2 linked regions of the Kluyveromyces lactis genome follow. The main gene of each other region encodes a partner of the protein of the gene in region 2 in a complex. Links are inferred from orthologs where the notes say so. Each region holds a gene or a part of one and is shown on either strand. Other genes may lie near its edges.

Region 1 (3,967 bases), on a different chromosome or scaffold from region 2:
GTGTCTATTTTTTTTTTTTAAGTTTTAAATTTATAATAGCATGAAGGCATCAGTATTTCATACTAAACTGAGCCAACCGGTGAGAATAAACCTACACATAAGATTACTTGACAGCTTCTGCAGCACCACAATCTAACCATAATGCAAAATGAGCCTATGTTTCAAGTGCAAGTCGATGAGACAGAAGATACCGAGTGGAACGATATCTTAAGAGCTCACGGTGTAATTCCAGAAAGACCACCATCACCAACTGCGCAGCTAGAAGAAGCGTTAGAAGAAGCATTGGCAAAGCAACATGAAAATAGACTAGACGGCAAGGATCTATCAGATTTGGAGGATTTGGAAGATGAAGAAGATGAGGAATTTCTACAATTTTATAAACAGAAACGTCTCAATGAGATCAAGAAATTACAGGAAAAGGCAAAATTTGGTTCAGTATATCCAATCAGCAAACCTGATTACAACAGAGAGATCACAGAATGCAGTAAAGGCACTAAAAAATCACAATATGTTGATGATGGTTCTTCAGAGTTTGAAGGAGGGGTTTATGTGTTTGTTCATTTAACTTGTCAAGCCAAACTTGAAAGTAGGTTATTATCTAGTATCTTTGAGAAAGCAGCAGCCAAATTCCCCCAAATCAAATTCGTGGAAATTCCTGGTAATAGAGCAATAGAGAATTATCCAGATAACAACTGTCCGACTTTGATTGTTTATTACAAAGGTGATGTCGTAAAACATTTGGTTACACTACTCGAACTTGGTGGAAAAGATACTAAATTGGAAGATTTTGAAAGACTTATGGTTGATATTGGTGCAGTAGACGAGAAAGATGGTAGATTGCTAATGAACCACGAAGATGATTATACTAAACAAGAAAAGAAACAGAGATACGGTCATAACAGTATAAGATCAGGTATCAAAGGCAAATTTAATGTTGGTGTTGGTAGAAATGGCCGCAACGGTGCAGATGATGATGATGATGATGATTTCTTCGATTAGATAGAATACTATATATATATGGGTCTGTATATTGAAAAAAAAGATATAAAGGCAATAATAACACGTCGATTGGTGTGATGTTATTTGGGTTTCTTTTCTGACATATATATACGGAAGCCACCTAGTAAACCAATTTAGGAGTTTTTCTTCTTTTAACATATTCAACGAATAATGTAGAAAAGTAGATATGCTTGTTGTTCCAATACTTGCTCTTCCGTTACTGAAGTGACAACAGAATCATTGAATTTAAACCATTGTCCATCTTCAGTTTTACTCACCGTGGTATAATGACCTTGATCAACCGTCCCCTGATGGGAGACTACATTTAGTAGATCATATGCAATATTAGGAATATATTCATCTTCAATCTGGAATAAATGGGGTTTTAGATTTAAATGCAATGGAAACTGTACTCTATCATTTAATTTTGCGCTTTGACCGTTGAGTTGATGTTCGAATCTTTTCAACTGTATAACTAATACGTTAGGAGCCTTATGCAACGTTAACTGTTTCACCACACCCTGGTTCTGTTTACAGCTTTGGCATTCGTAGTGAAAATCGGTTAATGTTTCCTCTCTTTGGAAGTGATCTAAGCAATCTTCTAATTTAGGGTTATTTTTGATCTCTAAGGAAAGGTCCATGATTGGATCTATTGTGGTCTTTGAGAATCCACACTGAGAACACTGTAAAGTGTTTTTAAGATATCCTTGGAAGATTCGATGCGTGATACATTGACAATCAGGGGCCTTTGACGATCCGAATACTCGTGCATGATCCGTATGCAGTTGGTTCAATAAGAACTGCCAGTACTCATGTGCATCCTGTTGTGACGAGCCAACAAGATGATGATTGATATGCCATGATGCAGATAAAAGGTTTACAAAGCCTTTGCTAACGGAGGAAGACTTCCCTGTCCCAGGTCCATTCCCGTAAAAGTCACAAGCAATTTCATCCAATGCACAAGAGACGCACTTGGTTCCTGATTTAATGTCACAATTGTTGCAATGCTTATGAGATAACAGGTCCTCGACAAAGTATGGATTATGTATGATGGTTTGAATGATACTACTCATGAAACAGGTGGATCCCATGTTCACCAAACCTTGTAATCCATCTCTGTGTAAGCTAGCTGGTAGCTCGGTCTTTTCCATTACAGTATCCCATTGGCTAGCCGGAATTTCAGCGACCAGATCAGCCATGAAATCACCACATCTGAAACAGAACACTAGACCATTTGATGAATTAACCCCAAAGATGTGTCCCAATTTTTGAGAATGATCCAAGAAATGGTTGTTATTCCAGCACCCGCAAAATCCGCATTGCAAGCAAATGAAAGTCGATCCACAGCTAATTTCACCACAATCCATACATCTCATGGTTCTCATAGTTCTATTCTTGAAGTCTGCGTGGCGAAGCAGATATCGTACCGTTTCGCATTCTTTCAACACTGCGTCACCAAGCTTTTGGTTAGAAACCACTTGATTCATATGCGGACAAACCATAACTAATAAAAAAAATTTTGGCCAAGCACACGCACGAGCACTGAGAAATTTCAGAAAAATATCTAGCTGAAGTTCCCTGCTCGAGCTAGAGGATGACTAAGGCACAAAGACTTTGCTCCGTTTCCCCAAAAATTGTAACTGAATCTGATTACTAGATCATCATCTGTTAGAGTGCGAATTTCATATAATGAAAAGTTAAACAGAAAAAACTTGATCCAGAATCAAGCAAAAAAATGAAAAAGCGAAAAATAAAAGGAAGAAATGATACATAAGTAAACGGTAGATAGTATATACTTGTGGGAGCTCAGTGTGGTCATATACAGACTACTATCAGCCGGGGTGTTTGTAACCATACAGGCAAATGAGTGGAGGTGTCTACAGGATCTCTTATATATTATTAGTTTTATTTTTTATGAGTATCAAAATTAGCATGTATCCCGTAGTCATCCTTATGTAGTCATTTTGTACTCTTTCTCTCGAGAGGTACCTGGAAAAACCAGCTGCGTACGAAGATTTCTAGGAGATAATCCGATTCGCAGAGAAAGAGAGAGAGGGAGAGGGAGCTCATCGCAAGGAAAATTTAAAAAAAAAAAAAGTTCATCAACGTTTTCCAATTCTGTTCCAGTATTCTGAAGGGGAGTAGTATATGGGTAGGTATTTATGTCCGGTTTCTATTATTAGTGGATTTGGATTTAACACCGCTTCAGGCTGTGAGGTAGATAAACAGTTCTAGGGTTTTTAAAAAATGTCTAAGAAAGTATTGATGTTGCATGGGCTTGCCCAGTCTGGTCCTTATTTTGAATCGAAAACGAAAGGTTTTCGTCGGGTCTTAGAACCACTTGGATATGAGTTCTTCTACCCTACAGCACCAATTAATTTATCACCAGCAGATCTTCCTAGCGATGTTGCAGATATCGGCGCTGCTTCTGGGGATGACTATCACGCGTGGCTTCAACCGGATCCGTTGCATGGGGAGTACAGATTGCCCGACGTGACTTTGAAATTCTTGAAAGAGTACGTTGTCGAAAATGGACCATTTGATGGTATCTGTGGGTTTAGTCAAGGTGCAGGTGTCACTGGATATTTGATGACGGATTTCAATAACCTTTTAGGCCTCACGGAGGAACAACAGCCTGCTATTAAATTTTTCATTGCATTCTCCGGATTTAGGTTCAGACCTGAGATTTATCAAGAGCAGTACATCCAACATCCTATCACTGTAAGGTCATTGCATGTTCAAGGTCAGTTAGATACCGTTACGGAATCATCCCAGGTGAAAGGATTGTATACCTCATGTAAAGAAGGAACGAGTACGTTTTTAGAACATTCTGGTGGTCATTTTGTGCCTAATTCGAAGGGTTTTGTATTGAAGATCGCTGACTGGTTACAAAACTCTGAATAGAAAAATAGTTTCCACCAGCTTCATTTGCATGATAAAATGATGATAGATTCTAACGTCTCCATTG
Region 2 (3,285 bases):
TGAAGAGTAAGATAAATCCAGAAATCAGGATAACGACATTCAAGGACGCCTTACAATGGTTAAAAGAACACCCTACAATGAAATTTATGTTGGATATCAAGCCTACAAATGATAAGGTTCTTTTAATCAAGGCGATTCTTGAAATGAGAGCAGTAGTCGATGATTTAGATTTCTGGAGGCAACGTTTGATGTTCGGATTGTGGCAACTTGATTGGTACAAATACGGGGTCACCACGGCCACACTGAAGGGTTTCAAGATCGTGGCCATCTTACCCTTCACAGCGATGGCTACTAAATTTGTCGAATACTCTAAATCCTTGAGCGATGACAACTACAAGTTGCATGGTGTCAGTCTTCATTTCATTAACTCTTGGAAACCCGATTTCAAGAAAACTGTATTACCATACTTGCAAGAAAACAACCTTGCCGTATACCTTTGGACCGTCAATTCCGAAATTGACATCAAATATATCAGTAGTATGACCATTACCGGGATTATCGTTGATGATCCGGTAGCTTCAGTGTCAATTCGAGATGAGTACATTCGGAAAGCAGTGCCGTTTGTACCGCCAATTTTCAATAGCTCTGAAGGTTTTAGACTATACCTTAGACTTCGGGTATTCGAAGTGGCTGAAAGGATCCTTAGCTCAAGATGGGCCACTGTCCCAGTATTCCATGATATCACCTTGTTGAAAGTAACCGTTTTATTGTTAAGAAGAATCCACTTCATTTAAATGTCATTTCATTTCGTAGACAATCTATATAACACACATACCATAGGAAGTTAATATCCTGAAATATGTTATATTTAGCTTGCAATTCGATTATCGACGGACCAATTGGTGTGTGGGGGATTGACACATTCCATTAAGTCATATCACGTGATTGTAAGAACTTTCAAGTTTCCCTTTCTGAAAGTCGACGATTTCGACAGGAATAACATACCGATGGACAGAAACATTTCATAAGATAATACATGAATTCAGATGCTTGAAAGTATTTAGAGCGGGTGATCCAAAGATTTTAAAAGGCTTTTGAGATAGTTCTAACGTGTTATTTACCTGCCACAAAAGTTACTTTTGTACAATCAATATTGAGGGCTCACTTCATACCAGATTCTTTTTTTTTAACGTGCTATTTTTACCATAGTTAGGCACCAATTTGCATTACCACCGATAGACTCTGGTTTATTTTTGAAAGCTAGGTAAGGACAGTTTGATCATTGTTAGCTTGTCTCAATTCATTCATCATTTCCATCGTAATTCTCCCTATCATTTTTTTTTTACCTGGCTGATTTTGGTACAAGAGCATGTCAAGTGTCAATATAGAGATTAAAGGAATCAGATCAGACATTCAATTAGAAGATTTAGGAAGTAGCAAGAACGGTTGGAAGGAGTTACTGTCTATTGTTAAGAATAACGGGAATAGTTCGGATTTATCATCCACGGATATTCGTTCAAAATACTTGAGCAGGCCGTCAGAAGTTTTATCTGGCGTTTCTAAAGAGGATATCCGTTATAGGAATTGTACAGCTTGCCACCAGCCGGTATTGGTGTCAGCTATTATAGATCATTTAGAGAATCACTGTATTGATAAAATGCCTGTGAAAAAGAATGAGACGCAGGATATCATGTCTTCTCCTGCTAAAAGTAAGGGGAGTAATAAGAGATCCTCGTCGATAGATCCTGAGAATTTCGATTCACCTTCAAAGAAACAGAAATCATCCACTCCTTCTGGATCGACTAGAAAACAAAGGAAGATAAAACAGCGAAACCCGACAGAGCCACATCTGGTTAACTTCGATAAACAGTGTGGTGTACCATTACCTGAAGGTGGTGTTTGCGGTAGATCATTAACATGTAAATCGCACTCAATGGGAGCGAAACGTGCAGTGGAGGGACGGTCACAGCCATTTGACATATTATTAGCTGATTATCAGAAACGCAACCAGTTGAAATCTTCGGCGTCCAAGACTAGAATCCAAAAGGCACAGCAAAATCAGCAGGATCCACAAGTTAAACAAAAGGGGAAAGATAAAAACACTGGGAAAACCAGCAGCAATGAAGTGGTCAATGAGTCATTACCCAAATTGTCCCCTGAAGAAGAGACTACTCTGGTTTTGAACGGTGTTTCACGTTCATACCCACTACCGTTAGAAACTACGGTATTGACTTCTACACGATCAAGAACCAAGTACGTCAGAATGAGAGAAATGTTTGGGTCTGCTTTCAGTATAAAACCAGGCTTTAAGAGCCCTGGAGTTGGTGCGTTCCGCTCAAGGGTCGGTCTTATTGACATTGATAGAACGACTGATTATACGTTCCGTATACGTACGCCTCAACCTATTAACGCATCACCTCAAAACTTGACACCAGAACAGCTTCAAATATTACAGGCCCAACGTTTGAAACAACAACAGCAGCAGCAGCAGCAACAACAGCAACAACAACAGCGGCAACGACAATCTAGTGCTACCGGATCGTTATCTCAAATGCAAATGCAAATTCCACAGTCAGTTCAGGCTGGAAAACCTGCAGGGCAACAACCCATGATGACCCAGGGCATCACCCCTCGGGATATTCAAACTCAACAGCTAATAATGCAACAACAGCAACAGAAACTCCTGCAGAAGAAAAGAATGGAAGACGCCAGTGCTCAACTAGATACGGCTTCTAAGTTGATGCAGCAAACAATAGGCTCACCGGTTAATACTCAAAGTCGAAGCAATTCAAATCAACCTGGTGTTCAATTTGGTGTAAATGGATATGGAGGAAGAGTTAATTAGTGTAATATTTAGAAACTTAATAGCTTGTTAACGTCTGTTTTTCATCTCTTAACTTTGAGGGGTATGTGTATATATTTTGCACAAGTCGTTATAATAAATTAAGATTGGCTTCGCTTTTAAGTTGAATAGTTTAGGTAACAGAAAACGATGATCCAGTACACAGTGGCCTTTACACTTCTTAATACAAAATAAGAAATCGCAGCTAGCAATAAATATGGCCAAGAAGCATCGCCTGTTATCAACAGTGTAGCATATTGGACAGTGAACATCAGTAGCCCTGGAGCTAATGTGCTCCATAAACGCGTTCCTCTTGACTTCCAAATAATATGGTCGATGGTATTATCAAAGTTTTTGGACATCGCTTCTCTGGAGAAATAGTACTTAATACGTTTAGGACCGTTAACTTCGAATAAGGAGTGATTCTTTTCAAATATGTCTACGGATTGATCCAACACTTTTGACCATTCATCAGCATCGGATGGTCGTAACCAACCAGTTGC

What was found. Proteins that work in one complex are often made in the same cells at the same time.
Region 1: the proteins of SGF73 (region 2) and UBP8 are in contact, whole or in part, in a crystal structure (PDB 3MHH), measured with the Saccharomyces cerevisiae proteins. The link is inferred for Kluyveromyces lactis from reciprocal best matches to the Saccharomyces cerevisiae genes SGF73 and UBP8. Residues at the interface, in NP_011449.1 of Saccharomyces cerevisiae: Gly24, Ser25, Gly26, Pro27, Ser28, Asp30, Ser31, Trp32, Lys33, Leu35, Met36, Ser38, Ala39, Lys40, Thr42, Pro43, Leu44, Gln45, Asp47, His48, Met49, Asn50, Ser53, Leu54, Lys55, Lys56, Tyr57, Phe58, Asn59, Asn61; in NP_013950.1 of Saccharomyces cerevisiae: Thr23, Ala26, Ala27, Tyr29, Ile30, Asn32, His33, Ser34, Val35, Pro36, Glu38, Lys39, Asn42, Thr43, Gly47, Thr48, His50, Met59, Cys60, Leu61, Gln62, Cys63, Gly64, Phe65, Cys66, Asp107, Asn110, Asp111, Leu114, Tyr117.

Annotation. Positions count from the first base shown.
Region 1 is NC_006039.1:603,184-607,150, forward strand, and holds UBP8 (ubiquitin-specific protease UBP8), read right to left. Parts: upstream 2,502-3,967; coding exon 1,161-2,501; downstream 1-1,160. Other genes in the region: PLP2 (Plp2p), read left to right, coding at 142-999; KLLA0_C06996g (alpha/beta hydrolase), read left to right, coding at 3,247-3,903. UniProt on the Saccharomyces cerevisiae protein: Histone deubiquitinating enzyme component of the transcription coactivator SAGA complex. SAGA acts as a general cofactor required for essentially all RNA polymerase II transcription.
Region 2 is NC_006038.1:214,243-217,527, reverse strand, and holds SGF73 (deubiquitination module subunit SGF73), read left to right. Parts: upstream 1-1,309; coding exon 1,310-2,785; downstream 2,786-3,285. Other genes in the region: PGC1 (phosphatidylglycerol phospholipase), read left to right, coding at 1-734; ALG2 (GDP-Man:Man(1)GlcNAc(2)-PP-dolichol alpha-1,3-mannosyltransferase), read right to left, coding at 2,902-3,285. UniProt on the Saccharomyces cerevisiae protein: Component of the transcription coactivator SAGA complex. SAGA acts as a general cofactor required for essentially all RNA polymerase II transcription. At the promoters, SAGA is required for transcription pre-initiation complex (PIC) recruitment.